Linked DNA regions of Anolis sagrei. The protein of the gene in region 1 purifies or fractionates together with the protein of each later gene. This does not show direct contact. Links are inferred from orthologs where the notes say so. Each region holds a gene or a part of one and is shown in the gene's direction. Other genes may lie near its edges.

The links.
Region 2: the proteins of TULP3 (region 1) and IFT140 purify together in Homo sapiens (affinity purification with mass spectrometry; 5 studies listed by BioGRID and IntAct, counting the BioPlex papers as one, with this or other methods). This does not show direct contact. The link is inferred for Anolis sagrei from reciprocal best matches to the Homo sapiens genes TULP3 and IFT140.
Region 3: the proteins of TULP3 (region 1) and WDR19 purify together in Homo sapiens (affinity purification with mass spectrometry; 5 studies listed by BioGRID and IntAct, counting the BioPlex papers as one, with this or other methods). This does not show direct contact. The link is inferred for Anolis sagrei from reciprocal best matches to the Homo sapiens genes TULP3 and WDR19.
Region 4: the proteins of TULP3 (region 1) and IFT122 purify together in Homo sapiens (co-immunoprecipitation; 6 studies listed by BioGRID and IntAct, counting the BioPlex papers as one, with this or other methods). This does not show direct contact. The link is inferred for Anolis sagrei from reciprocal best matches to the Homo sapiens genes TULP3 and IFT122.

Annotation. Positions count from the first base shown.
Region 1 is NC_090025.1:104,602,569-104,610,348, reverse strand, and holds the start of TULP3 (tubby-related protein 3), read left to right. Parts: upstream 1-4,702; 5' UTR 4,703-4,811; coding exon 4,812-4,855; intron 4,856-7,780. UniProt on the Homo sapiens protein: Negative regulator of the Shh signaling transduction pathway: recruited to primary cilia via association with the IFT complex A (IFT-A) and is required for recruitment of G protein-coupled receptor GPR161 to cilia, a promoter of PKA-dependent basal repression machinery in Shh signaling.
Region 2 is NC_090034.1:23,609,295-23,616,432, reverse strand, and holds the start of IFT140 (intraflagellar transport protein 140 homolog), read left to right. Parts: upstream 1-4,124; 5' UTR 4,125-4,342; exon of another isoform or gene 4,343-4,537; 5' UTR 4,538-4,630; intron 4,631-4,973; 5' UTR 4,974-4,996; coding exon 4,997-5,143; intron 5,144-7,138. UniProt on the Homo sapiens protein: Component of the IFT complex A (IFT-A), a complex required for retrograde ciliary transport and entry into cilia of G protein-coupled receptors (GPCRs).
Region 3 is NC_090025.1:119,211,688-119,219,613, forward strand, and holds the start of WDR19 (WD repeat-containing protein 19), read left to right. Parts: upstream 1-4,898; 5' UTR 4,899-4,981; coding exon 4,982-4,987; intron 4,988-7,686; coding exon 7,687-7,778; intron 7,779-7,926. UniProt on the Homo sapiens protein: As component of the IFT complex A (IFT-A), a complex required for retrograde ciliary transport and entry into cilia of G protein-coupled receptors (GPCRs), it is involved in cilia function and/or assembly.
Region 4 is NC_090022.1:49,981,070-49,988,354, forward strand, and holds the start of IFT122 (intraflagellar transport protein 122 homolog), read left to right. Parts: upstream 1-4,277; 5' UTR 4,278-4,479; coding exon 4,480-4,520; intron 4,521-7,285. Other genes in the region: MBD4 (methyl-CpG-binding domain protein 4), read right to left, coding at 836-1,075, 4,055-4,074. UniProt on the Homo sapiens protein: As a component of the IFT complex A (IFT-A), a complex required for retrograde ciliary transport and entry into cilia of G protein-coupled receptors (GPCRs), it is required in ciliogenesis and ciliary protein trafficking.

The DNA of each region.
Region 1 (7,780 bases):
GAGTTGAAGTATAGTACAGTGTAGTACAGTTTTAAGTTTAATTCAGTTGACATCTGTTTCAATAAGCAATGTACCTTCTTGCTAAATACACAAAGCTTGTAAGTATATCAACGATGTTAACTTTTAACGAAGACTACTTATTTTTTTGGTCTCTTAAGAACATGATTTTAAAACAATATATTTTATGGGAGAGTAGATTATATATTTTTGTGCAACAGAAATAACACTTCTGAAGATCTGCTACATATTTTATGCATTGGCATTTCTTTGTTCCTAGCGGTTCAAAGAGATAGCCAAGTATATCAGTCTAACAGCTGAGAAGCCTAAACTGCCTTGTATAAATACTAGTAATTTACCACTAAGGTAGTGGTTCTCAACCTGTGGGTCCCCAGGTGTTTTGGCCTGCCAGAAATCCCAGCCAGTTTACCCAACTGTTAGGATTTCTGGGAATTGAAGGCTGAAACATCTGAGGACCCACAGGTTGAGAACCACTGCACTAAGGAGAAGATTGACTCAGGTGAGTTTGTAACTCTTCTTGGGAAGATCATACTTTACAAAATGGTTACGATCTCTATCAAGGTCATGCCTTTCCAAAAGGTTATGATTATTCCAAATAGTCTGGCTACCAGTATTGAAAAAACTCTACAATTACAACAGCAAAACAACAGAGAGGAAACAATATGGGACATGTAATCACCTCTCAACAAAAGATTGCCCCAGGCACTGCCAGGCAATCAAATGCTAATCAAGGTGGTCAGTTGAAACATTCACACCTAGCTCCAGGAAACAAGAGTCCTTTGTCCCACCCTGGTCATTCCACAGATATAAATCCTTTTCCCTAATTCCAACAGACCTCACTACCTCTGAAGATGCTTGCCATAGATGCAGGCGAAACGTCAGGAGAGAATGCCTCTAGAACATGGCCATATAGCCTGAAAAAACCTACAACAACCCAACAAAATTAGTGTTGCATAGTGTAATCTGTGTATCCCGCCCTCCCTCCACACTAAGCTCTCTCCCACCAAACCTAAAGGACTGGTCCCTTCCCCGGCCTCTTGACCCCATCCTCGCCTCTCTCACCTGTTCTTGGGGCTGGAGCGGCGGGGACTGGCTGCAAGCCCCGTTCTCCCCCGCCTTGAAGGGAGAACGTGGCGAGCCAGCCGCCAGTCCCTCAGGCGGTCGGTACCGCCGTCTTCCGCCTCTTGGGTTGTTTGAATTTGGCGCCCAACAAGGACGTTCGACGCCACGTGACGGCGCCGGGCCAATTAGAGCGCAGGGGGCGGAGCCTGTGAGGAAGGAGAGCGAACGGTAGGAGCAGCGGCCCAGGCGCATCTCTTTCGGAGGCAGACTTGCTGTGTATGTGTACACATGCGTCAGGATAGGTGTTTTGAGTTTGTATATGGGTGCCCTCACCTGCCACAGTCATTCCCCAGCTCTGGCTCTCCACGGTTTGGAAGGGACTCCAACTCCCAGAAGCCTCAGCTGCTCTGACCCAGGATAAGGGATTCTGGGAGTTGAAGTCCCAAAGGGTTTTCATCCTCCAATGTGGTTTTGCCAGTTTCTTCCTCTGAAATGCTGCCTGCAACAGCTGGCATTTGTCAGCGGCGTCCCATTCAAGAGCTGGCCCTGCTGACTTTGCAGGATCAGACGCCATCTGGGGCGTTTAGGATTTATGTTGACAGTTAACTGTCCTGCAGTTCCAGAAATAAACGGAATCACCAAAACAGAGATATTAATAATGTTGTAAAATAATATTTATACTTAATAATACAATATTTTATAATAATATAATATTTATACTTATGATATAATACAATATAATATGATCTATATAAATCAAAATATAATGTTCGTTTGTGGGATTAACTGAACTCAAAAAGCACTGGGGGAATTGACACCAAATTTGGATGCAAGACACCTAACAACCTAATGTATGTCCTTCACTCAAATTTTTTTGATTTTGTCATTTGCGAGTTGTAGTTGCTGGGATTTATAGTTCACCTACAATCAAAGAGCATTCTGAACTCCACCAACGATGGAATGGAACCAAACTTGGCACACAGAATTCCTATGACCAACAAAAAATACTGGAAGGGTTTGGTGGGCATTGTCCTTGAGTTTGGGAGTTCTAGTTCACCTACATCCAGAGAGCATTGTGGACTCAAACAATAATGGATCTGGACCAAACTCTACACGGATACTCAGTATGCCCAAATGTGAACACGGGTGGAGTTTGGAGAAAATAGAATCTTGACATTTGGGAGGTGTAGTTGCTGGGATTTATAGTTCACCTACAATCACAGAGTATTCTGAACCCCACCAACGATAGAATTGGGCCAAACCTCCCACACAGAACCCCCATGTGGGCCACAGCAACGTGTGGCAGGGGACGGCTAGTCTATATAAATAAAAAGTAATGTTCGTTTGTGGGGTTAACAGAATTCAAAAATCACTGGGGGAATTGACACCAAATTTGGACATGATACACCTAACAACCCAATGTATGTCCTTCACTCATAAAAAAACAGCAGAAGGGACTTAAAAAGCTAAATGACGAAAAGCTAAATGACAATACAGAAAAAAAGGAAGAAAGAGGAGGGAAGGGGAGAAAAGAAAGAAAGAAAGAAAGGGAGGGAAGAAGGAAAGGGAGAAGGAAGCATATAAGCAAAGAGAAAAGGAAGGAAAGAGGTAGAGAAGGAAGAAAGGGAGGAAAAGAAAAAGGGGAAAGGAAGGAAAGTTAGAGAAGAAAGGAAGGAGAGAAGGAAAGAAAGAAGGAAGGAAAGAGGGAGCGAAGGAAGGGGGGAAGATGTAGAGAAAGAGGGAGGGAAGGAAAGAGAGGAGGAAGAAAAGAGCAGAAGAGAAAGAAAAAGGGGGAAGGAAGGAAATAGATAGAGAAGGAAGGAAGAAGAGAAGGAAAGACAGGAAAGAAGGAAAGAGGGAGTGAAGGAAGGAGGGAAAAAGGGAAGGTTGGCCACAGCAATGCGTGGCAGGTACCACTAGTAATATAATATTATTTATTTACAACATTTATATGACGCCCTTCTCACCACGAAGGGAAATCAGAGCGGCTTACAAGATAGATATACATACATACATACAAACACACACATACACACACACGCTGTGCCACTAGGGGCCCCCAGTAGTATAGTACAGTATAATAATATATTTATTTATTTATTTACTAGATTTATATACCACCCCTCTCAGCCCACAGGCAACTCAGGGCGGTTTACAGTCAGTACCAATACCAAAAAGTACAATTAAAACATTAATATAAATATAAAAGAAGTAAAAACAATCAATATCAATTAAAAACATATATAATTAGAGTCTCCTTGTTCAAACAGTGTCCAGTCACGTCGTCCAGTCTTTCCATTTTTCATCTGTAGTAGTAGTAATTTTATTGATTAACCCTTAGGCCATATCACAATAAGAAACAGAACAACAAGGTCTGATAAGACCCGATCACACTCCACGTAGTAAGTTAAAATAAGACACTTATAACGATACAGTAAATAAATATGATAAGACATGATAAAACTGATAAACTGATCAAGCTGAGTATATACATCATATTTCATTATCACCCCTACAACTTACCCCAATCAGCCCTAAATATGTGGTTCTCAGACGTATTGTTTTGCTTAAGTACAGAGCTGTTTTGTATGTTATTTTTGGGTCTTGACCACACATAAAATATGTTGTTCTGATGTGAGATTCCCAATACATTGTCCATTTGACAATCTAACCATTGTCTCGAGCTGATCAAATCTGACTCGAGTGAATACCTCCCTGAGATTTTTCATCTGTAAACGCTTACTCGGCCCCTCTTCCTTTTTCCCTCCATTTCCCCCAGCATCATTTTCTTCTCTAAGCTTTCCTTTCTTCTCATGATGTGGCCAAAGTACTTAATATTTGCCTCTAATATCCTTCCCTCCAGTGAGCAGTTGGACTTTATTTCCTGGAGGATGGACTGGTTGGATCTTTTTGCAGTCCAAGGCACTCTCAGAATTTTTGCAACACTATTTTTGTTGGGTTGTTGGTTTTTTCGGGATATATGGCCATGTTCTAGAGGCATTCTCTCCTGACGTTTCACCTGCATCTATGACAAGCATCCTCAGAGGTAGTGAGGTCTGTTGGAACTAGGAAAATGGGTTTATATATCTGTGGAATGACCAGGGTGGGACAAAGAACTCTTGTCTGCTGGAACTAGGTGTGAATGTTTCAACTGACCAACTTGATTAGCATTTGATGGCTAATAAAGGTGGTCAGTTGGAATTTCAAGCATAATTGGCATTTCGGAAGATCTGTGCACGATGGGTACCCAGGATGCTGACGCTGGTTGCGGAAACAGTGTCGACTTGTTCTGTGAAGGCTTCAGAAAACTTGTTCATCGTTGGCAGAAACGTATCCAATTGTCTGGTGATTATGTGGCAAAGTGAATAGTGGTAGTTTAAGAGCACATTGTAAGGATTATTTCTGCGTTTGATTTATTAAAATATTCCCATCCAAACCCAAGTAACGAAGGTGGAGGCATTACTTTTCAATCAACCCTGGTAGAGAAAGATGTTGAAGAGCCCTGGGCCCAGGTCTGAGGAGAAGGCCGACGTCACGCTCTTTGCAAGTTGATGCGTGGCTTTGTTTTCTCCCTCACCCCGCTCTGGCTGCGCCCAATGAGGAGCAGGCGTTGTGCGCACGCGCCGCCCAGTGCCTCGCGGAGGCTCCAGGGGCGGGAAGGCGGAGGAGGGGGGCGGTCCCAACCCGGCGAGGGGGCCGCCCCCTCCCCTGGTTGCCATAGCAATGGCAGGATGGCCAGCCGGAGCGGAGTGACTTTGGCTACCATGGGAGCCAGGTGAGGCCAGGGCCCGAGGGTCCTCTTGGCGGGGCGCCCCCTTTTGGGCGAGGGGGGTGCTGGGGCCGCAGCAGAGGCTGGAGGGAAGCCCAGGAGGGCGACGCCCGGCCCGCGAGCTTGCAGGGATCCCCGCCAATCAGCAAGCGCGCGGAGGCCTCCCTGTCTCGAGCTCTGCGGCCGGAGAGAAGGCTTTTGCAGTGTATCATAGAGGCGCTGCTTCCTCTCACCCGGAAAGAAGGGAAGGGGGCGCCATGGCGGCTGCTCCTTCCCCCATCTCCTTGGTCCTTTTCATCAGTCAAGCCTATTTTTATCAGTGGAAGGGAGGCGCCTAAAGGCGAAGAGCAGGGAGGAGGGCACCCAGATCTCTGGAAGTTTTGAAGCAGAAGCTGGATGGCCATCTGTCGGGGCTGCTTTGATTGTTCTTTTCCTGCATGGCGTGGGGTGGGCTAGATGTGGTGACTTCCAGCTCTGATTCTTCCATCTCCTTCCCCCTAGCAACAATATAGTACTATAGAACACTTTTTTTTTGTTCTGTCAGGAGCGACTTGAGAAACCGCAAGTCGCTTCTGGTGTGAGAGAATTGGCCGCCTGCAAGGATGATTTGATGTTTTATCATCCTTGTGGGAGGCTTCTCTCATGTCCCCGTATGAGGAGCTGGAGCTGATAGAGGGAGCTCATCCGCCTCTCCCTGGATTCGAACCTGCGACCTGTCCGTCTTCAGTCCTGCCGGCACAGGGGTTTAACCCAATGCACCACCGGGGGCTCCTATATAACACTAATATTGTGCTATGCTAATCTATATAAATAAAAATGTAATGTTCGTTTGTGGGATTAACATAACTCAAAAGCCACTGGGGAAACTGACACCAGATTTGGACACAAGACACCTCTCAGGCCAACAAGTGACCATCACTCATAAAAACACTGAAAAACACAGCAGAAGGGACTTTAAAAAGCCAAAAAATACATTACAATGCATACGCAAAACCACATATATATACACAAACACACATATATACACACATATATGCATACACACAGAAAGAAGGCAGGAAGGAAAGAAAGAAGGAGGGAGAGAAGGAAGTAAAGAAGGGTAGAGAAGAAAGGAAGGAGGGAGAGACGAAGGAGGGAAGGAAAGAAAGAAAGGCAGAGAGGAAGGAGGGAGAGAAAGAGGGAGAGAAGGAGGGGAGAGAAGGAAGGAAAAAAGAAGAATAGAGAAGGAAGGAAAGAGAGAAGGAGGGAGAGAAAGGGAAGGAGAGAAGGAAGGAAGGAAGGAAGGAGAGAAGGAGGGAGAGAATGAAATAAAAAAGTGAAAGAGGGAAGGAAGGAGACAAGGAAGGGTGGAACCAAAGAGCTAAGGAAGCGAGAAAAGAAACAGAAGGAACAAAGAAGAAGGGAAAGAAAAAGAGGAAAGGAAGGAAAGAGGGAAGGAAGGAAGGAGAGAAAGAAAGAAGGAGAGAAAGAGGGAGGGAAGATTGGCCACAGCAACACGTGTCGGGTACAGCTAGTAATATATATTGTATATACATATAATATTGATAATAATAATATAATAATAATGATAATACAATATAATAATATTAATTCTATATTATATATTACATGTAATATTACAGTATACCAATATAGGACAATATAGTAATATATAATGATAATTTTGTGCTATGCTAATAATCTATATAAATAAAAATGTAATGTTCGTTTGTGGGATTAACATAACTCAAAAACCACTGGGCGAATTGACACCAAATTTGGACACAAGACACCTATCAGGCCAACGAATGACCATCACTCATAAAAACCCTGAAAAACACAACAGAAGGGACTATCTATATATATAAATCTGTTAGGTTGGTTCAACCGGACAGCAAAACTCCACAACCCCCCAACGAAACTGTACCAAAATTGCCATGCCCATAACACAACCCACAAGGTACAAACATATCTACTCAAAATGAAAAACAACACAACAACACACTCACAAAACGGCAAAACAACAAAACTCAAAAAACCCCAACGAAACTTAACCAAAATTGCCATGCCCATAACACAACCCACAAGGTACAAACATATCTACTCAAAATGAAAAACAACACAACAACACACTCACAAAACGGCAAAACAACAAAACTAAAAAAAACCCAATGAAACTTAACCAAAATTCCCATGCCCATAACACAACCCACAAGGTACAAACATATCTACTCAAAATGAAAAACAACACAACAACACACTCATAAAACGGCAAAACAACAAAACTCAAAAAACCCAACAAAACTTAATCAAAATTGTCATGCCCATAACACAACCCACAAGGTACAAACATATCTACTCAAAATGAAAAACAACACAACAACACACTCACAAAACGGCAAATCAACAACACTCACAAACCCCCCAACGAAACTTAACCAAAATTCCCATGCCCATAACACAACCCATAAGGTACAAACATATCTACTCAAAATGAAAAACAACACAACAACACACTCACAAAACGGCAAAACAACTGAGCATGCGCATTGGTGCCCAGCCGCAAGTTCCCTGGCGCGCGCACACAGTTCCCTCTGAGGAAGCCATGCCCACTCCAAGCCCCGCCGCGCCGCTTCCCGCACACACACCCCCTGCCGCACGCACACACACAACCCCACGCTCTATCACTCCCCCCGCCGCACACACACACGCAACCCCACGCTCCATCACTCCCCCCACCGCCACAGACACACACGCAACCCCACTCCCCCCCGCTGCCGCACACACACACGCAACCCCACGCTCCATCACTCCCCCCACCGACACACACACACGCGCAACCCCACTCCCCCCCGCTGCCGCACACACACACGCAACCCCACGCTCCATCACTCCCCCCGCTGCCGCACACACACACACAACCTCACGCTCCATCACTCGCCTGCCCCAATC
Region 2 (7,138 bases), on another chromosome or scaffold:
GGACTTCAAGTTGAAGTGTTTTAGAAGAAAACATCCAGAGAAGTCAAACATTGTCAGCTGATATTATCCTCTGATAGGACAGCCCAACTGAAGACGGCGATTGTTACTCAGAGCAGGCCTGGGCCAACTTGGCCCCTCTGGTTGTTTTGAACTCCAACTCCCACAATTCCTAACAGGCTGTTAAGAATTGTGGGAATGGAGTCCAAAACACCTGGAGGGTCCAAGTTGGCCCAGGCCTGACTTAGAGGTTCAGCATAAAGAAGCAACCAGATAAACTTCCCAGGCCGTGTGACCCTTCGCTGCCAATGATAAGGAATGCCGGGAGTTGGAGTCCAATCTAGGAAAGGCCACACCACTCTTATCCTTCCTGGAATGTAACAAAGAAGCAACTAGGTAAACTTCCCAGGCAAGGAAGGGTGCAGCCTGACACACATGACTGGACTACAAGCCCCAGCAGCCTTTGCCATCTAAACAATGACAGGGAATGCTGGGAGTTGGAGTGCAACCTAGGGAAGGCCGCACCCCTCGTATCCATCCTGAAATCTCCTATGCTTTAATAACCATAGGATAACAACATTACACCTTTTCCTTCCTCTAAGACATTCTCTCCACCTTTGATTAGGAAAAGCCTGGGGTGGGTTCCACCTCAAAGGCCTACCTTGCACACTCAGGCTGGGCCCACACGTTATGTGAGTCTACACTGCCAAATAATCCGTTTCAAGAGACTTAACCTGTAGTAACGGCACTGCAGTGTGGACCCAGCCTCAGCTGGCAATGCTTCCTTCGTTCCTTTTTTTCTTTTCGGTAATAATAATAGAATTCTCCTCCTCCTCCTCCTTTCTTTCCTTCCTTACCTGAGTCATGAGGGCCCCGCGGAGGCCTCCCCGTCGCCGTCGCCGTCGCCGTCGTGACCCGTCCCCCGGAGCCTCCGAAGGCGTTCCGGGCTGCTGAACCCTCACACAAGCTTCTGGCACTGCAGCTCCCGCCTCTTCCCGTAGGCGGAGGGCAGAGAAACCTGACTTCCGCTTCCGTCCTGCCGGGAATGCAAAAGAGAAGGCCGCACCAGCAAGCCCCGCCCCCAGGCAACCCAAACAGAGTGCCTTATTGGCCGGCCGGAACCAAAGGGGCGGTGCCGCTGGAAGCCGCGGAGGCGAAAGTGACCAATAGAAAGCGGTGGGGGCGGGGCAGCTCGAGCCTGGTTGGTGAAGGTCTTCAGGTTATTACAGGGAAGCATTCTCTCCTGACGTTTCGCCTGCATCTATGGCAGCTATCCTCAGAGGTTGTACTTACTTAGGCGATCCCTCGTTGTCCGAGTAGGATAGTCTTCCAGGATCTGTGTACTGGCAGTGGGTCCGTAGGTGACTCTGGAGCCCTATTCTTGCTCTGCATCTTTTCCCGCAGTGAGGGCATCGGTTTCCAGGTGGAAGGCGGTCCCGGTCAGGGTTGGCTTGACGCACCTTCCTCCTGGCACGTTTCTCTCTTTCGCCCTCCATTTGTGCCTCTTCAGATTCTACAGCACTGCTGGTCACAGCTGACCTCCAGCTGGAGCGCTCAAGGGCCAGGGCTTCCCAGTTCTCAGTGTCTATGCCAGAGTTTTTAAGGTTGGCTTTAAGCCCATCTTTAAATCTCCTTTCCTGTCCACCAACATTCCGTTTTCCGTTCTTGAGTTCAGAGTTTGGGAGATGGTGGTCAGGCATCTGGACAACGTGGCCAGTCCAGCAGAGTTCACGGCGGAGGACCATCGCTTCAATGCTGGTGGTCTTTGCTTCTTCCGGCATACTGATATTTGTCCACTTGTCTTCCCAAGAGATTTGCAGGATTTTCCAGGGGCAGCTCTGATGGAATCGTTCCAGGAGTTGCACGTGACATCTGTAGACAGTCCACGTCTCACAAGCGTTTAGCAGGGTTGGGAGGACAATAGCTTTATAAACAAGCACCTTGGTATTCCTACGGATGTCCCAGTCCTCTAACACTCTCTGCTTCATTCGGAAAAATGCTGCACTCACAGAGCTCAGGCGGTGTTGAATTTCAGTATCAATGTTGACTTTGGTGGAGAGGTAGCTGCCAAGGGAGTGGAAATGGTCAACATTTTATAATGTTACACCATTAAGCTGTATTTCTGGCATTGGAAAGGGATTGGCTGGTGACTGCTGGACAAGCACTTTGGTTTTCTCGTTGTTCAATGACAGGCCGAGCTTCTCGTATGCTTCTGGCTTGTAGATCTTCTTCTGAATGCGCACAAACAACATTGTCATCAGCCTATTGGAGTTCTATATAAGAGATGTTGTTGTAACCTTGGTTTTGGCTTTCAGTCTGCTGAGGTTAAACAGCTTGCCATCTGTCCGATAGATGATTTCCACTCCGGTGGGAAGCTTCCTGTCAACAAGATGGAGTATCATAGCAATGAAGATGGAGAATAAAGTTGGGGCAATAACACATCCCTGTTTGACACCCGATTGCTTCTGGAACATTGCCATACGAACCAAAAAACTTACAGCAATCCAGTGATTCTGGCTATGAAAGCCTTTGACAACACGTATTACAGACTCAAAGCGGCTCACAATCAAAAACAGTACAACCCAAAATACAGAAATATACAATAATAAAACAGTATAATTATATATTATCAGTAGTAATTATTTTTAATATATTACTATTACTTTATTATATATTTTTATATTGTATTATTATAAATGGAGCCCCCAGTGGCGCAGTGGGTTAAACTGCTGAGCTGCTGAACTTGCTGATTGAAAGGTCGCAGGTTCAAATCAAGGGAACGGTGTGAGCTCCTGCTGTTAGCCCCAGCTTCTGCCAACCTAGCAGTTTGAAAGCATGCAAATGAGAGCAGATCAATAGGTACCACTCTGGCAGGAAGGTAACGGCGTTCCATGCAGTCATGCCGGCCACATGACCTTGGAGGTATCTATGGACAATGCTGGCTTAGAAATTGAGATGAGCACCAACCCACAGAGTCGGACACGACTGGACTTAATGTCAGGGGAAAACCTTTACCTTTTTTATGTAGTATTAGTATTATATTGTATTATATTATAATATTATTATCAATATTATAGGTATATGCAATATATTATTAGTATAGCACAATATTAGTATTATATATTACTATATTACTACACCGCTCTCACTCGAGTTGGTGTATATAGTACTACACCAGTATACTGAAATATTAGTAATATTACATATAATATAATTATATTATAATATACTATATAATTACTATATTAGTATACCACAATATATTTGATACCCTACCAGTATATTATACTATTAGTATTATATAATATATTGTACTATAAGTTGTAGTATATATAATATTTTGGGGGTGGTGACAACCAACAGGGAGCTCTGGCGTGGACTGGTCCATGAAGTTACGATGAGTCGGAAACGACTGAACGAATGAACAACAACAAATATATAATATATATTTATTAATTTATTTACTATGCTTGTATACCGCCCCTCTCAGCCCGGAGACGACTCGAGGCACTTTACATTTGGCAATCAATGCCCCACAAGATAAAATACAGTCAAAAACAATTACACATAGTATAAACCGTATAAAAACAATAACCATAAACAATTAAGATCACAAAATACAGTTCTCAGCATATATTATATCACAACATTAATATTATATATAATTTTATTTATTTTATCAGAAGAGAACTGAAGGTACAGTTGTAACGTATTAAAACACACACACAAAGTTTAAAAACTTGGTACTCCAAGTGGCCAGCTAGCGCTCAAAGGGCATTTAGTATAATTATACATATATATTAGTATTAAACAAAAACAACAGTTGGAACATAATAAAGTAGCAAGACTATAATAGAACACGTTACAGATTAAAATATATCCAACACTTAAGGTTTATTTGAAACTAAATAAAACCAGTCCTTCCTTGAGTGGCAAGTGGAGTGCTTATGTGTGTGTTTCCAAAGAGGGCGGGGCCGCTTGGAAGCCGCGGAGGCGAAAGTGACCAGTAGGAAGCAGCGGAGGCGGGGCTTACAGTGCTCAGGGCTCGATCCTGGTTGGTGAAGGTCTTCAAATAGGCAGGGCTTGGGGCCTCTGCTTACAATCTCATTGGCTGATTGGATATGTGTCTTTTCCTCGGAGCGGTAGAGACGAGTCAAGAGAAGCTACATAGGGTTGGTCTGAGAACGGGTTAGCCGTTCGGGAATTTCCGTCAAAGTGTTCGGGAAACATCGTGCATTTCCGACTGCGGCTTCGGCTGTTTCCGCTCCGGGGAAGCGCTTGCCGTCGCCAACGGTAACGCTCGGCGTCTTCTTGGCGTCGAGGAGCGCGCTTTCTTTCCTCTCAGGCAAGCGGGCGAGGGACGGAGAGGAGGCCTCGTTGGCTTTCGTTTTCCTCCAGGCCTAGGGACCGGGGCCTCGAGTGAGAGGCAGGCCGGAGACGTGAGGGGTTGCTGGGCTGCGAGGGTTTCTCTTTTCCCCAGGACGAGAGACTCCAGTTCTTCTCATTCACCTTCAAGGAAACTCTTGTTTATGGTTGACAGGGCCGAAGATGGACAGAACCTATCCTTTCCTTCTCCAAACTGAATGGGGCTTCGGGCAGGACTTTCTCAAACAGGACCATTTACAAGCTTCAGGTAAAATGAAAGGTGTCCAAAGAAATGTACACACCCTTCCAAGTTTAAAAGCTGATAGCTCAGGCCTGGGCCACTTGGGCCCTCTCTCCTGGTGTTTTGGACTTCAAGGCCCACAATTCCTAACAGCTGGTAGGAATGTTATATTAATTTCTTGTATCACCAAGAAACAAAATGTTTTTATTTCATTTCCTGACAAAACTTACTTAAAACACTTAGTGAGGGAGAGTTATTGACCCCCTACAATTCATATTTTAATGTGTGGTCAACTTTCCTGTTTCCTCTGATGCTCGGAGTCTTAATTGTTACAGTTTCTTGATTGCGAAATGCTTTTTTTGTATTCTAGATGTGTAGCGTTTGCCTTTCGAAATGGCTGTGTACGTTAATCATCAAATAGAAGCTCTTGAGTCCCATGGACCGCACTTCCACATTGCGTGGCACCACATTCATCCGTTTTTGGCCATTGCATCTGTTAATTCAAATTCTGGGGGCAGTGTGGGTATTTTTCTAGAGCAGGTAAGCATTTCAAATGTTTATTTATTTTGTGTCAAAAGCATTTCATAAATAAATATAAAACTGATAATATAGAAGGAGCACAAGCGGCGAAATATTTTTAGACCAGAAACAGGCAACAGTGACTGCATTGTCTGTAGCTTTAAGCAGTTTTTCCTCTGTGCATGAGGCAGGGCATTGTGGGCAAGCATACAGGAGCCCCCGGTGGCACAGTGGGTTAATGCACTGAGCTGCTGAGCTTGTTGATCGAAAGGTCGCAGGTTTGATTCCGGGGAGCGGCGTGAGCTTCCGCTGTCAGCCCTAGCTTCTGCCAACCTAGCAGTTCGAAAACATGCAAATGTGAGTAGATCAATAGGTACTGCTCCGGCGGGAAGGTAACGGCGCTCCATGCAGTCATGCCGGCCACATGATCTTGGAGGTGTCTACGTTGTCTACGGACAGCGCTGGCTCTTCGGCTTAGAAATGGAGATGAGCACCACACCCCAGAGTCAGACATGACTGGACTTAATGTCAGGGGACTACTTTTACCTATACAGATGCTTAGTTGTTTGTTCTGCTCCACAGTTGCACAACGTAGACGATTCTTCTAGGTAGGGCCATCTTGCCAGGTTGTCTTTTGATCCACCAACTCCACTTTTGAATCTATTCAGGGACTTCCACATTGCCCATTCTTGGTTTGCCCCCTGCAGGCAGACCCTCATGTGGGGCCATCCGGTTGGGATTTCCTGGTCTAGCTGCCCAGAGGGATATCCTTGCTGTTGTTGGGAGAACATTAAGAGGAGTGGTGGTTCTCATGAAGCTTTTCCTTGATTGGACTCTACTGGGAGGAGGCTGGTAGCCATTCAGTGGGTGGCTTTCCCAGTGTTCAACTTTATTTATCTCGCAATTGGCAGCAACTTCCCGTCGCAATGCCAGCTAGCTTATACAGTCAATCAGGTGTGGGTTTGAGACATCCTGTGATAATCCTATATGCTTCATTTAGTGCCATATTCACATGCTTTGCATGGACAGACTAGTACTAGACAGAGCAGGCACACTCAGCAGTTGAGTAAGGCAAGGCTAGGGCTGATGTTCTTATTAGTTTTGGGTCTGCACCTCATGTGCTGCCAGTAAGTTTCCACAGAATATTATTGTGTGTACCTACTTTATGTTTGGTGTTCATACAGTGTTTCCTAAATATTAGTGTTCAAGCTAAGGTGTCACCGAGATACTTAGGGTGGGAACATTTGAAATATGATCTGGTTGTATATAGTCCCATAGAAGAACGGGAAGTGGGGGGGGGGGCATAGCACTTCTGTCACCAACCACAATGTGCAAAACGGAGTCTTCCTGTTTCAGTTCTGTGGAGGAAAGAAAGTTTAAATTTCTTCCTCCATGACAAATTTAGCTTTCATAAAAAATAGTTTTGGAAGCTGCTTGAAAATATGTAATGTCATAAATGCATGTATGCACTTTAACATATGGAGAGGAGGAGGACTAAGATGCTCTAACGCTGGCGAGCCCATTTGCACTATATGGTGGCTATAATACATTTTTAATAAACACCTGTGTTCATGATTTGAAATGCAATTCATTTCTGCTTTTAGTGATATATGTTTAATGTTCACTCATGTCTTCGTTTCTTGTCTAAATTGGCTTATTGCTATCAAGTTCCCATTTCAATGTTTAGTTTTTCATAAGTTTATTGTTATTATGGTGCATTATTTTGTATTATTCCTGATGTTGTTTGTACTTTGTAAGGCACTGAATGTTTGCCTGTTTCTGTGTGTAAACCACCCTGAGTCCCTTTTGGGAGAGAGGGTGGTATAGAAAAAACGAGATTCAGCTTTGATAGTCATTATGTGCAGTTCTGCATGAATTACTTCTGATTTGACAGGAACCTATTCAATAATTAATTTTGAATTTAATTTAACCTGTTAATAGCTTTTAGATGTACATGTTTGTCAACTTCATACATCACACAATATGTATATAAAGGTGATCAACATGTAAAAGTGC
Region 3 (7,926 bases), about 15 Mb from region 1:
AACAACAGTTTTAAAGGTTCCTTCTAGGTTGAGAGAATGTGAATTTACCCAGGGTCATGCAGTATATTTCTGTGGCTGAGCACAGATTCTTAGTTTCCTTGACTCGTCATCCAATGTTCAAACCATTACATACTGTACCTATCTTTCCACATACTAAGTACACCCACTCATTTCTCTTAAGATTAATGGCAATCTTGTGATTCTACAGAAGTTGGTGGGTCCAAATTTCTAGCATTCCTTACCATTTTCTATGCTGACTAAAATTATTGGGAGTCGCAATCCAAAAACACCTGAAAGCCCGTGTGATTCCTGTACCTATCCTAAGATGAGCAAGCAATAGGTTACACCAGAATGGCTCAAACTGTTCCTCCAGATGTTTTGGACTTCAGCTCCCACAATTCCTTACAGCTGGTAATTTGGCTGGGATTTCTGGGAGCTGAAGTCCAAAACACCTGGAGGAGCACAGTTTGAGAAACACTGGCTTAAACAATGGCTTAAGTAAGAATGCCTTGAAATAAGCCTTTAAATGGAAAGAAAACAAAACATCTGACCATTCATTTTTTAAAAATAGTCTTTATAATATAATCAGTAGAGCATCGCTAAAGCTGATGATATATTTTTGTAAAATATCTATGAAGCATCTCAGGAGAACCATATATAAATTTTCTAAGTCAATAACAGCAAATGTTGATAGCATCATACTGGTATTATGGAGGATTTAAATTAACAGCATCTGTTATGGGAAAGTCCAGGATAACTAAAATGAACCTGCAACTCAGATAAATGTTTATATAATGCAAGGAGTGCCAATTTATAGTCTCCCATTGATTTTAAAAATGCATATTAAAAATTTAGAAAATTCTGATGGGCACCTACAGGCAGAGCACATGCCAGCTAAAATAAATTCCAGCTCTCCTCAAGGGTGTCAGAACAGTGATATGTAATTATCACCAATCATTTACATTAACTCAGGCAGTTTTAAAGTGTGGAGAGGTGGAAAGGGGAGGAAGGTCGCTGTTCTAGATTTGAAATCTTTTTCTTTAGATATTTTAAGGAGTGATTCTGCCTATGTACATCGGCCCACATACTAAGATCTGCAGTACACTGTGTGGAGACATGAAGCAGAGTGCATGGGCTACGTGATGCCTCTCCCTGGAGACAAAATTAGCTTCAACATTGACATGTTTTCAGTGCCAAGTTTATTTGTTGTTTCAGAAGCGAACCGAGGGTACAGTTGTAATGTATTTTTAAAAAACTTGGCATTATACTAAATGTCCTTTGACCAGTAGCTGGCCACTTGGGAGTGCTTCTGGTGTCGCTATAAGAAGGTCCTCCATTGCGCATGTGGCAGGGCTCAGGCTGCATTGTACTAGGTGGTCTGTGGTTTGCTCTTCTCTTCTCTCGACACATGCATGTCGTGGACTTCATTTCTTAAGATTGCCTCTGCATCTTGTGGTGCCAGAGTGCAGCCTATTCTGTGCCTTCCAAGTCACCCAGTCTTCTGTGTGCCCAGGGGTGAGTCTCTCATTCAGTATCAGCCATTGCTTGAGGTTCTGGGCTTTACCCTGCCACTTTTGGACTCTCACTTGCTGAGGTGTTCCTGCAAGTATCTCTATAGATCTTAAGAGAGCTATTTCTTGATTTAAGGCATTGGCGTGCTGGCTGATATCCGAACAGAGGATGGGCTGGAGATGTCACTGCCTCATTCCTTTCATTATTGGCTGCTACTTCCCAGTGGATGTCAAGTGGTGCAATACTGGCTAAACAGTATAATTTCTCCAGTAGTGTAGGGCATAGACATCCTGTGATAATGCAGTATGTCTTATTAAGAGCCACATCAACTGTTTTAGTGTGGTGAGACATGTTCCACACTGGGCATGCGTACTCAATAGCAGCATAGCAAAGCGCAAGGGCAAATGTCTTCACTGTATCTGGTTGTGATCCCCAGGTTGTGCCAGTCAGCTGTTGTACGATATTGTTTCTGGCACCCACTTCTTGCTTGATATACAAGCAGTGTTTCTTGTAAGTCAGAGCACAGTCCAGGGTAGTAATAATAATAATAATAATAATAATACTCATCATCATCATCATCTTTATTTATACCCTGCCACCATCTCCCCAAAGGGGACTCGAGGTAGCTAACATGAGGCCAAGCCCTGAATTACAGGACAACAAAATAAAATAAAATACAAACAGCAAATAATAACATCAAAATAAAATACATCCAATAACAGAAAATGAAATAAACAGATGCAAACTAACATGATGAAGAAGAAGAAAATAAAAGCAAGGTAGGCGGGCCAAATGCACAGAATAAAATTGATAAAACCCTGGGTGAGATAAGTAAATGGAGAAGTATGAGTCTGTGGGGCAACTCAGAAGGGCTGAACAATGGGATTGAGCCTACATTAAAGACAACAAAAAGTGCATCATGAGGACAGAACTATATTTGGTACGGACATGATATAGGGATGTGTTCACTTGCCAAAGGCATGCCAGAAGAGCCAGATTTTTAGGACTTTCTTAAAGGCTGTCAGGGCGGGGGCTTGCCTAATCTCACTAGGTAGCGAGTTCCAAAGCTGAGGGGCCACAACGGAAAAGGCTCCCTCCCTCATCCCCACAAGTCGCACTTGAGATGTAGGTGGGAGCAAGAGGAGTGTCTCCCCCTAGGATCGAAGAGATCATGCAGGATTATAAAAGGAAATGCAGTCACGAAGGTAGGCGGGTCATGCCTACCTGCGTGACCGTATTTCTGTGTACGAAGGAAATGCAGTCACGCCTACCTGCGTGACCGCATTTCTGTGTACGAACCCACACGATCTCTTCGTTCATCTGGAGAGGCCCTGCTTGCGTCCCCAACTCCTTCGCAGGTGCGATTGGTGGGGACGAGGGAGAGGGCCTTCTTGGTGGTGACCTCCTGACTCTGGAACTCACTTCCCAAGGACATCAGACATGCCCCAACTCTGGCAGTCTTTAGGAGGAGCCTGAAAACGTGGTTGTTCCAGTGTGCCTTCCCAGAATAAGGAAAACCCTCAGCAATATGCCCTCAAAATGCACTTTACCATTGATTTGGGATTGATTGCGTTCCTTCATCTCTCCTTGAAAATTCTGCCCTAGTTCTATCCTACCTTGTCCATGTCCAGCATTATTCTTAATTTTAATCTATTGCATTTGGCCCGGCCATTGGTTTTAAATGCTTGTGTGTTACTGTTGATGTATTGTTTATTTTTTGTTATGTGATTTTTATTAATTGTATTGCTTTGTTTGTTTTGTTATTGCTTTTGTTTATTGATGTACTGTACGTTTGGCCTCATGTAAGCCGCACCGAGTCCCCTGGGGAGATGGTAAAAGGTAAAGGTAAAGGTAGTCCCCTGACATTAAGTCCAGTCATGTCTGACTCTGGGGTGTGGTGCTCATCTCTATTTCTAAGCCGAAGAGCCAGCCTTGTCCGTAGACACCTCCAAGGTCATGTGGCCGGCATGACTGCATGGAGCGCCGTTACCTTCCCGCCGGAGCGGTACCTATTGATCTACTCACATTTGCATGTTTTCGAACTGCTAGGTTGGCAGAAGCTAGGGATGACAGCGGAAGCTCACGCCGCTCCCCGGAATCGAACCTGTGACCTTTCGATCAACAAGCTCAGCAGCTCAGTCCTTTAACCCACTGCGCCACCGGGGGGAGATGGTAGCGGGGTACAAATAAAGTTTTTATTATTATTACTAGCTGTCCCCTGCCACACGTTGCTGTGGTCCACATGGCTGTTCTGTGTGGGAGGTTTGCCCCAATTCTATTGTTGGTGGGTGATTGTAGGTGAACTATAAATCCCAGCAACTACAACTCCCAAATGCCAAGGTCCATTTCCCCCAAACTCCACCAGTTTTCACATATTGGCATATTGTGTATTTGTGCCAAATTTGGTCCAGATCCATCATTGTTTGAGCCCACAGTGATCTATGGATGTAGGTGAACTACAACTCCAAAACCAAAGGTCAATGTCCACCAAACCCTTCCAGTATTTTCTGTTGGTCATGGGAGAACTGTGTGTCAAGCTTGGTTCAATTCCATCATTGGTGGGGTTCAGAATTCTCTTTGATTGTAGGTGAACTATAAATCCCAGCAACAACTCCCAAATGACAAAATCAATTTTTTGAGTGAAGGACATACATTCGGTTGTTAGGTGCCTTGTGTCCAAATTTAGTGTCAATTCATCCAGTGGTTTTTGAGTTATGTTAATCCCACAAACGAACATTGCATTTTTATTTATATAGATGATGATGATGATTATAAGTGTCTTGTGGCTAAATTTGGCAGCATTTCATCCAGTGGTTTTTGAGTTATTTTAATCCCACAAACGAACTTTACATTTTTATTTGTATAGATTATATAGAAGATACGTTATTAGTTCATCGTCTTTTGCAACTCCCTCTGGGAATCTCTAGAGCAGGCCTGGGCCAGCTTGGGCCCTCCAGGTGTTTGGGACTTCAACTCCCACAATTCCTAACAGCCTGAGGGGGGGGGGGGGAGGAAAGGTCCTGAGGCTGTTAGGAATTGTGGGAGTTGAAGTCCCAAACACCTGGAGGGCCCAAGCTGGCCCAGGCCTGCTCTAGATCCTCCAGGATGACACTGTAGCCAACTTCAGCTAGTTTGGAAGATGACCGTAGAATCGTTCAGCTTTAAAAAACCACTGCTTACTTTAGATATGGGAATATCCACACTGGTATCAATTTTAGTTCCATTTCCCAGAAGCCCTGGCTATAGACCAGATCCGCCGAGCCTTCTGGGAGTTGAAGTCCAAAGGTACTCTCGTTCAGGCACCCGTGACGTATAACAAGACACGCCCTCTGCTGGGGGCCGCCATCTCCTGGGTGACGCCGACGCTTGGAGAGGGGAGGGGCCAGCCGAGGCGGGTGATTGCGCAGGCGCAGTCGCTCTGTTTTTTTCCCTCTCTCTCCTTAAACACCGTCGGAGTGAAGGCGAGAAGATGCAGGTCGGTCAGGGCTGGGAGGGGTGGGAGGGCGGTTGGGCTTTTCTAGGCCAAGTCACAGTATAGTGTGCAGCAGGCCTGGGCAAACTTGGGCCCTCTCTTCAGGTGTTTTGGACTTCAACTCCCACCATTCCTAACCCCCTCAGCTAAGCGGCTGTGTGGGGAAAGGAAGAGGCCTGAGGCTGATAGGAATTGTGGGAGTTGAAGTCCAAAACACCTCAAGAGAGGGCCCAAGTTTGCTCATGTCTGATCTAGAGATTCTCAGGAATACAGACCAGATTGTAATTGCAAAATATATGATAGCAGCGACCCAAGCAACAGTTGCCTTAGGATGGAAAGATGAAGGGAAATGGGGATTTTAGAAATGGCTCAAATATTGATCAGAGTATATGTTCCAAGACTGCATATCATATATATATGAATCATAGAATCATAGAGTTGGAAGAGACCTCATGGGCCATCCAGTCCAACCCCCTGCCAAGAAGCAGGAATATTGCATTCAAATCACCCCAGACAGATGGCCATCCAGCCTCTGCTTAAAAGCCTCCAGAGAAGGAGACTCCACCACACTCCGGGGCAGAGAGTTCCACTGCTGAACGGCTCTCACAGTCAGGAAGTTCTTCCTCATGTTCAGATGGAATCTCCTCTCTTGTAGTTTGAAGCCATTTGAATGGCCATCCAAAGGAGAACTGGCAGTTAAAGTGGAAAAGGATTGTAGTCAGAATGAAAGGGAAACTATAAGGATCTGAACCAAAACATCATCATGATTGAAAAAATAATATAAAGTTTAAACCAGCGGTCCTCAAACTAAGGCCCAAGGGCCAGATACAGCCCTCCATGGTCATTTACCCAGCCCTCGCTCAGGGTCAACCTAAGTCTGAAACAACTTGAAAGCACACAACAACAACAACAACAATGCTATCTCATCAGCCAAAAGCAGGCCCACACTTCCCATTGAAATACTAATAATAGAGCCCCCAGTGGAGCAGTGGGTTAAACCCCTGTGCCGGCAGGACTGAAGGGTCGCAGGTTCGAATCCGGGGAGAGGCGAATGAGCTCCCTCTGTCAGCTCCAGCTCCCAAAGCGGGGACATGAGAGAAGCCTCCCACAAGGATGATAAAAACATCAAATCATCATGGCGTCCCTTGGGCAACGTCCTTGCAGACTGCCAATTCTCTCACACCAGAAGCGACTTGCAGTTTCTCAATAATAATAATAATAATAAACTTTATTTGTACCCTGCTACCATCTCCCCAAGGGACTCGGTGCGGCTTACATGAGGCCAAGCCCACAATACAACAATAAACAATAACAACAGTAATACAAATCACTCCTGACACACAAAAACTAATAAGTTTATATTTGTTAAAATTGTTCTTCATTTTAATTATTGTATTGCATTTAAGCGTTTTTTGCACTACAAATAAAATATGTGTAGTGTGCATAGGAATTCATTCATTTTTTTTCCAAATTATAATCTGGCCCTCCAGCAGTTTGAGGAACTGTGACTTGGCCATCTGTTTAAAAAGATTGTGGACCCCTGGTTTAAACCAATGAGTAGAGTTATATCTGTCCCCATAGGGAGGTGAGTAGGAGGAAAGGGGAGGGAGAAAATGGATATGTATAAATAATAGCTACTGAGCTACTGAACTTGCTGACTGAAAGGTTGGCGGTTCAAATCAGGGAGTGGAGTTGTTAGCCCCTGTTTCTCCCAACCTAGCAGTTCAAAAAGATGCAAATGTGAATAGATCAATAGGTACCGCTCCGGTGGGAAGGTAATGGCACTCCATGCTGGCCACATGACCTTGGAGGTGTCTATGGACAAAGCCGGCTCTTTGGCTTAGAAATGGAGATGAGCACCACCCCTCAGAGACAGACTCAACTGGACTTAACGTAAAGGGGAACCCTTTACCTTTATCTATAAGTGATAGATGTATTGAACTGTAAAAGATAAAATGTAATCAACAGAATGTGTTATATGTGGTAAAAATAATAATATATTGTGTATATGCGGTTGTGACAATGTTACAAATTACTTACATTTAACCAATAAATAATAATAATAATAGTGAACAAAGTTTTCCCCTTAGCTATTTCTCTAAACATCACTTGTTGAATTTTTGTTTATTACCACAACTAGGGATTCAGATTTCTATTTCCCAGGGATGTCAATCTCCCTGATTGTTTTAGAGCAAACAAAAATTCAACAAGTGATGCTCAGGGAAATTGCTAAGGAGAAACTTGTGTGTATTGGATTGTGCTCAGTGGTTTCCATGGCAGTGAGTGGTGAATCCAATCTAAGTTTTAAACTAGGCTTTAAAAGAAGCTCTTCAGGATGCAAAATAGGTCCGGATCTTTTGGATTTGAGGTTATCCAAAATGTGGGGTGGGTTCTCTTCCCTGGGTTCACAGGATGCTATGTTACAAAGAAATCTGTTCCTGGTTTGAAAATGTTATTTCCTGTTTAATTGTGCGGTACTTCCTTTGAAAGTAGTTGTTATACTCCAGAAACTTCATTTTTGTGGCTGCCACAAATATGTTGAATTGTTGTGACTCTGAGATATTGAAAAACTATAGCAAAATGTGTTGCAGCACATTTTCCCCATGTTTTATGACAGAACCAATTAGGAAATAGCATTTATAACCAGGATCAAATATTGTATGTTTACAAACTTATAATTGATTTTGTTTTTCTTTTCATAGCGAGTGTTTACCCTTTCAGAAAAGGATTCACCTAGTTCCCCCATACAATTTGCTTGGCAAAAAGCTCTAGGAAACTACATTGCTGTTACAAGGTAAGATAACATATGGTCAGTGCTCCATGTTTGTGAGTTTGACTTTTGCAGATTTTATTATCTATAGAATTGACTAATGTTCTCCCTGGCATACTCAAGAGCAATTTCCTCTCAAAAGTGACCATGGAGTCCTCTGAGAAATCTAGAG
Region 4 (7,285 bases), on another chromosome or scaffold:
TCAATTGTGAGGCACACACTAATTTCAGTACCACCAAAATAATAAAAACTTTATTTGTATATACAAAAAGCACCCAATTTTTAGAGATTTTTATATGGGGGAAAGTGTGTCTTAGAATTGACAAAATACAGTATTTTAAATAAATTAGATAGCTGACTTGTCAAGAATGCCCTGTGATAGGACTTTCCTTAGGGCCACCATGGGCCCTTCCACACAGCCCTATATTCCAGAATATCAAGGCAGAAAATCCCACATTATCTGAGTGTAGACTCAGATAACTCAGTTCAAAGCAGATATGGTGGGATTTTCTGCCTTGATATTCTTGGATATATGGCTGTGTGGAAGGCCCTGTCAAGCAGCACAAAACAAAACCAGAGCAATACTGAGGGCCATTCCACTCAGTAGTTTCTTGAGTCGCTCCTGACATGAAAAAAAACCTGCTTTATTATAGAGCTGTGGTGACACAATGGGTTAAACCCTTGTGCTTGCTGAGTTGCTGACCTGAAGGTTGCCAGTTAAAATCCACAAGACGGGGTGAGCTCCTGTCTTGTCAGCTCTAGCTTGCGGGGACATGAGAGAAGCCTCCCAGCAGAATGGTAACACATCTGGGCATCCCCTGGGCAACATCTCTGTACATGGCCAATTCTCTCATATCAGAAGCGACTTGCAGTATGTTCTCAAGTTGCTTCTGACATGATTTAAAAAATTTGCTTTGTTAACTGAGGTGTATTTACATACTATGTATATTCTTTGTAACACTTTCTTTTCTCTGCTCTGAACCGAAATGCCACATGGGCTACATCAGTAGATTCCCAAGACTTATACTTAACATTACCTGACAAAATATATGTCATATTTTCCTGCCGTTTTTCCAGTCTGTCTTTGCTTGATTATCCTTTCCCATCCTTCTGGAACACCTTTATGGCACAGATGAGTTGATAAAGATTCAGCTGGTTCATCTTCTTTGCACTGGATAATCTCAGTCTCTTCTTTCTTGGTTTCAACGTCCTCTTGTGCTGTAGCTTCTCCCTTCTCTTTGTTTATATCTTCCATCACATGTTCATCACTTATATCGCTGCAGATGAATGCAATACTATCAAAATTTGCCCTGTCTTTAAAGCTTTTCCTAGTACAAAAGCTGCTCTACCTTGTTGATCACTGAAATGTTCCTTTTTTTACACCTGGCACAACTGCATCATAACTTCTTTTTGCCTCATAATTTAAAAACAAACAAACAAAATAAACCCTATTCCATATAAATGTTTTTCACTCAATCTGATATAAGAGGAAAACGTCTCACTGATACTGAAGCTGACCGGCACTAAAATCAGATTAAATCAGACAAAGTCTCCCATTTATGATATCAAAATCTATATGGTCACCTTGTCACAGGACACTTCCAGACACATGGCTCTCAACAACATCCATCAAAATATATTTTCAGTCATTCTCTCTTTTTCCTCTTTCTGACATTTTTATGTGGTAAGATCACCTGGAATGCTTACAGATGGAAGCAACCATCTGGATGTTCCTTGTAAAATTCCACAACCGAGGCAGGGCTACTGTACAATAAAAACTTCTGCTATCAAAGCACTCAAAGTGATGAGCTGAGCAGACCTTTGGCCTAATCAGTCCTTGAAGACAGTTAGTATTCTCTTAATGCAAACGGATCCAGCACTTCCACTTCCACAACCATAAATCTCCAGGAGCCATATACTCCAGAAATATATGCTCTCGTAACATGTGCAGCCCATTTCTGTGGATTTTCCCTTGAATTATTGGTTTGGGTTCGGGTTACCTAAAGGATCACCTTCTCCCATACAATCACCTCTCCCACACCTTGGTCCTCTGAGGGGCGACTGGTAACCACAACCCAGAGGACCATTTCATCGGCTGCCCCAAAGCTCTGAATGATCCTCCACATGCTTGTGGATTTCAATGGCTTCTCAGTGTAGTCTGACATGGTGGTTGTTAGAGTGGTCCAGCATTTCTGTGTTCTCAAATAATATGCTGGACCACTCTAACAACCACCATGTCAGACTACACAGAGAAGCCATTGAAATCCACAATCATGTGGACAATTTCAACAGAAAGGAGGAAACCATGAAAATGAACAAAATCTGGCTACCAGTATTAAAAAGCTGGGTTGCAGCTAAACATAAAAAAACCAAGATCATGGCAACAATAATGATTGACAACTGGAAAATAGAGGGAGAAAATGTGGAGGCCGTGACAGACTTTGTATTTCTAGGCGCAAAGATTACTGCAGATGCAGACTGTGGCCAGGAAATCAGAAGGCGCTTACTTCTTGGGAGGAGAGCAATGTCCAATCTCGATAAAATAGTAAAGAGTAGAGACATCAGACTGGCAACAAAGATCCACCTAGTCAAAGCCATGGTATTCCCTGTAGTAACCTACGGATGTGAGAACTGGACCTTAGGGAAGGCTGAGCGAAGGAAGATTGATGCTTTTGAGCTGTGGTGTTGGAGGAAAGTTCTGAGAGTGCCTTGGACTGCGAGAAGATCCAACCAGTCCATCCTCCAGGAAATAAAGCCCGACTTCTCACTGGAGGGAAGGATACTAGAGACCAAGTTGAAGTTCTTTGGCCACATCATGAGGAGACAGCAAAGCCTAGAGAAGACAATTATGCTGGGGAAAGTGGAAGGCAAAAGGAAGAGGGGCCGACCAAGGGCAAGATGGATGGATGGCATCCTTGAAGTGACTGGACTGACTTTGAAGGAGCTGGGGGCGGCGACGGCCGACAGGGAGCTCTGGCATGGGCTGGTCCATGAGGTCACGAAGAGTTGGAGATGACTGAACAAATGAACAACAACAACAACATTAAAAAACTCTAAAATTATAACAGCAAAACAACAGAGAGGAAACAATCTTGGACATCTAATCACCTCTCAACAAAAGATTGCCCCAGGCACTAGCAAGCCACACCAAACAACAGCCAGGCCATCAAATGCTAATCAAGGTGATCAGTTGAAACATTCACACCTAGCTCCAACAGACAAGAGTCCTTTGTCCCACCCTGGTCATTCCACATATATATAAACCCTTTTTCCTAGTTCCAACAGACCTCACTACCTCTGAGGATGCTTGCCATAGATGCAGGCGAAACGTCAGGAGAGAATGCCTCTAGAACATTTATGTATTTATTTACTTTGCTTGTATACCGCAGTTTCTCAGCCCGAAGGCGACTCAACGCGGTTCACAACATGAGCAAAAAGACAATCATAACAATATACAATTTAAAAACCAGTAAGGGCATAATATACAAAGTAATAACACATCAATAACAACACATTAACATCTCGTAACTAGAATCGTGATCCAAATTCGTCGTCTATGATTCCGTTCCTATGTTCACCATATTCATTGTAATGTTTATCCGAATGCCTGTTCAAACAGCCAGGTTTTTAGTTTTCTTCGAAACACCATTAGCGTAGGAGCTGATCTGATGTCCATGGGAAGGGCGTTCCACAGCCGAGGGGCCATCACAGAGAAGGCCCTGTCCCTCGTCCCCAACATGGCCATATAGCCCGAAAAAAACCTACAACAGCCTATGAATTTTAATGCATGTCCTTTTTTAAATCTCTATTTTGGGAGTTGTAGGCCAAAACACCTGGGCACCCACAGGTTGAGAACCACTGTCTTAAGTGATGTGCTAATGGAACACAAGCATTTATTCTCTGGCATCATGATGTCACATTTGCACTGAATTCCTGTTCTACTTGTGAACAGGGCTGAGAATTGCGGTATATAAGCACAGTAAATAAATAAATAATAAATAAATAAATAAAATAAGAAGGACCAGACCAAACTATTCATTCTCGGAAGTGGGCAGGTTGCAGGCCATTCAGGATGGAATCCATCCATGCAGTAGTTCTCAAACTTTGTTTTTTGGACTCCAACTCCCAGAATTCCTCGCCGTTGGACAAGCTAGCTGAGGGCTGCTGGGAGTTGAAGTCCCCAATCCTGGAGGATGGAAAACTTGGGGGCCACTGAAAGAAGGAGTCTATCATCTCTTTGTTGATGAAATCCATACCTGTCTGCAACTACCTGCATTGTTTCTCCGACAGGAATTTTGCCTCACCTCTCTATTAAGGCGGGAACTCATCTGCTCAATACGCATGCGCATTTTCACCCCCCTGAGACCAGATACGGGAGTAGTAGCCTATTAAGAAAGCGGGGCAGAGAGTCACCTGAGATCTCGCGAGAAGCAAGAGTGCGCTGAGGCAGATTTTGTTTGCGCATGCGTACTTGTGTTGTTTCTTCACTCGTATATCCAGCGGTGCTTAAGTGGAAATTTAGAGAAGAGGGATGGGAGGAAGGAGATGCGCATGCGCAAGTCCTCGTGCATCTCTGCCCAAAGAAGGGCGGTTTAACGTGGGCAAGAGTGCGCATGCGTGTTGCCTGGGGAGTCCGAATAAATAAAAGCGACAGCGTCCGTTGGTGGCTGTTGTGGAAAGGATGCGAGCTGCGTTGACCTGGAGGGATAAGGCCGAGCAGTGGTAAGAGCAACCGGGCTGGGAGAAGCTGGAGGTGCATCTACACTGTGGGATTAAGGCACTTTGACTCCACTTCTTTCAACTGCTATGGCTCAAGGCTGTGGAGTCCTGGGAGATGTAGTTTGTTGAGGCACCAGCACTCTCTGTCAGGGAAACCTAAGCACTTTGTAACATTACCCCCATGATCCATGGTATCTCAACTGCATTATTTTCTCAATGTAGACGTACCCTGAGAAGAGACAAGCTATCACTGCAAACTGAATGACAGCACCATGGCTCACTATGGAGTTAAGGGAATTGTAGTTTTACAAAGTCTTGAGCCTTCTCTGCCAATGAGTGCTGGTGCCTCACCAAACTACATAAGGAGCCCCCGGTGGCGCAGTGGGTTAAACCCCTGTGCCAGCAGGACTGAAGACCGACAGGTTCGAATCCGGGTAGAGTGCGGATGAGCTCCCTCTATCAGCTCCAGCTCCTCATGCAGTGACATGAGAGAAGCCTCCCACAAGGATGGTAAAAACATCTGGGCGTCCCCTGGGCAATGTCCTTGCAGGCAGCCAATTCTCTCACACCAGAAGCGACTTGAACTTTCTCAAGTTGCTTTGACACGGCAAACAAAACCAAACTACATATCCCAGGTAGAGCGCGGATGAGCTCCCTCTATCAGCTCCAGCTCCTCATGCAGTGACATGAGGGAAGCCTCCCATAAGGATGGTAAAAACATCTGGGCGTCCCCTGGCAATGTCCTTGCAGGCGGCCAATTCTCTCACACCAGAAGCGACTTGCAGTTTTTCAAGTTGTTTTGACACGGCAAACAAAACCAAACTACATATTCCAGGATTCCATAGCATTGAGCCATGGCAGCTAAAGGGGTGTCAAACTGTGGCAATTCAACAGTGTAGATCAGGCATGGGCAAACCTCGGCCCTCCAGGGGTTTTGGACTTCAGCTCCCACAATTCCTAGCTGCAACTCCCATAATTTCTAACAGCTGTATGTAGGCCATTGGCTGGCAAAAGTATGATAGCTGGGACCCAGTGCCGGTAGTGCTACGCTGGTTGCGTAATGTGGCTCAGAATTAGAGAAGGGAACATGTGCGCGAGAGACCACACGCAGTGAGAGACACAGCTATGACAGACTTGACAAGGTAGTTCGGTAGAAAGGAGGAGGGGACACAGGCAAGCATACTGATGTAGGCTATCCAGAGATCCTAGGCAAACATGTTCAAAAATGTTGCATTGGAAGGAAGGATAGAAAGGAAGGAAGAGAGAAACATGAGCAGTGATAAAAAATGAATCAAATCTTGTCACTCTTACATTACTTCACTGTTATCCTGTGCTACCTGCGTTACATTACTTCACTGGTATCCTGCCGCAGCTGCATCTCTCAGTCGATGCTCTGTCTCGCGCACATGTTCCTATCTCTAATTCAGAGCTGCGTTGTGCAACCAGCGTAGCACTACCAGCACTGGGGCCCAGCTATCATACTTTTGCCCATAGGGCGTTAGAAATTGTGGGAGTTGAAGTTAGGAATTGTGGGAACTGAAGTCCCAAACCTCTGGAGGGCCCAAGTTTTCTCATGCCTGGTGTTGATGCACCCTGCTCTTCCCAAGCAGCTCAGGCAAACAGTCTGCTGCAGCCTTTCCTAGGGTGCATCTACACTATAGAATTAATGCAATTTGGCACCACTTGAACTGAACCGCCATAGTGCACCAAGGAATCATGGGAGGTGATGTTTTCTAAGGCCATGAGCCTTCCCTGCCCAAGAGTGCTACCACATTACAACACCCGGGATCCCATAGCATTGAGCCAGGATGGTTCAAGTGGGGTCAAGCTGCATTAATTCTACAGTGTAGATGCACCCTTAGCTTGTCTTTTCCTCGTGGAGAATGTTTGAGCTACTCTTTTCCTGCTCTTTTGAACCACTTTTGCTGCTTGGTCAAATGGTTCTGTCTGCAAAATGTTGGCGAGTACACAGTAATTGTGGTGCAGTGTTTTAAGTATTGGATAATAATAATCATAATCATAATAATAATACTTTATTTGTAACCCTCCGTATCTCCCCAAAGGGACTCAGGGCAATTTTCAATGAGTAACAAAAAATGGAAAAAATAAAATAAAAGCCAAAAGCAGCCAAATGACAAATCACATCAAAAACAATGGATAAAACAATCTCAATATGAACTTATACAACTAACTGAAAAATAACTGAAAATTACACTTAAATAAACATAACACATCACACACATTTACCACATAACAAACCCATACAAATTAAACTAAAAGTGTGAAAAGCATAAGATGGTTTGGAATATGTCTCAGGATGTCAAGGTCTCAATTCCCCCTCGACCATGGAAACCCAGTGGTCACCCTGGGGAATCACACTCTCAGCCTCAGAGGGAGGCAAAGACAAACCCATGGTGAACAAATCTTACCAAGGCCCCTTCCACACAGCTGAATAAAATCCCACATTTTATCTGCTTTGAACTGGAATATATGGCAGTGTGGACTCCGATAATCCAGTTCAAAGCAGATATTGTGAGATTTTTCTGTCTTGATATTCTGGGTTATATGGCTGTGTGGAAGGCCCCAAGAGAACTCTGTGATCAAGCCACCATTAGTCAGATTTGTCTTGAATGCATACAGTGACAACAATGAGTCTATGCTGAAGAGGCATATACAACACTACCATAAAACCACATTACGGTATATTATACTAAAACACATTTATGATAAAATGCTAACATACTGTTTCTAATAACAAGAAAACATTT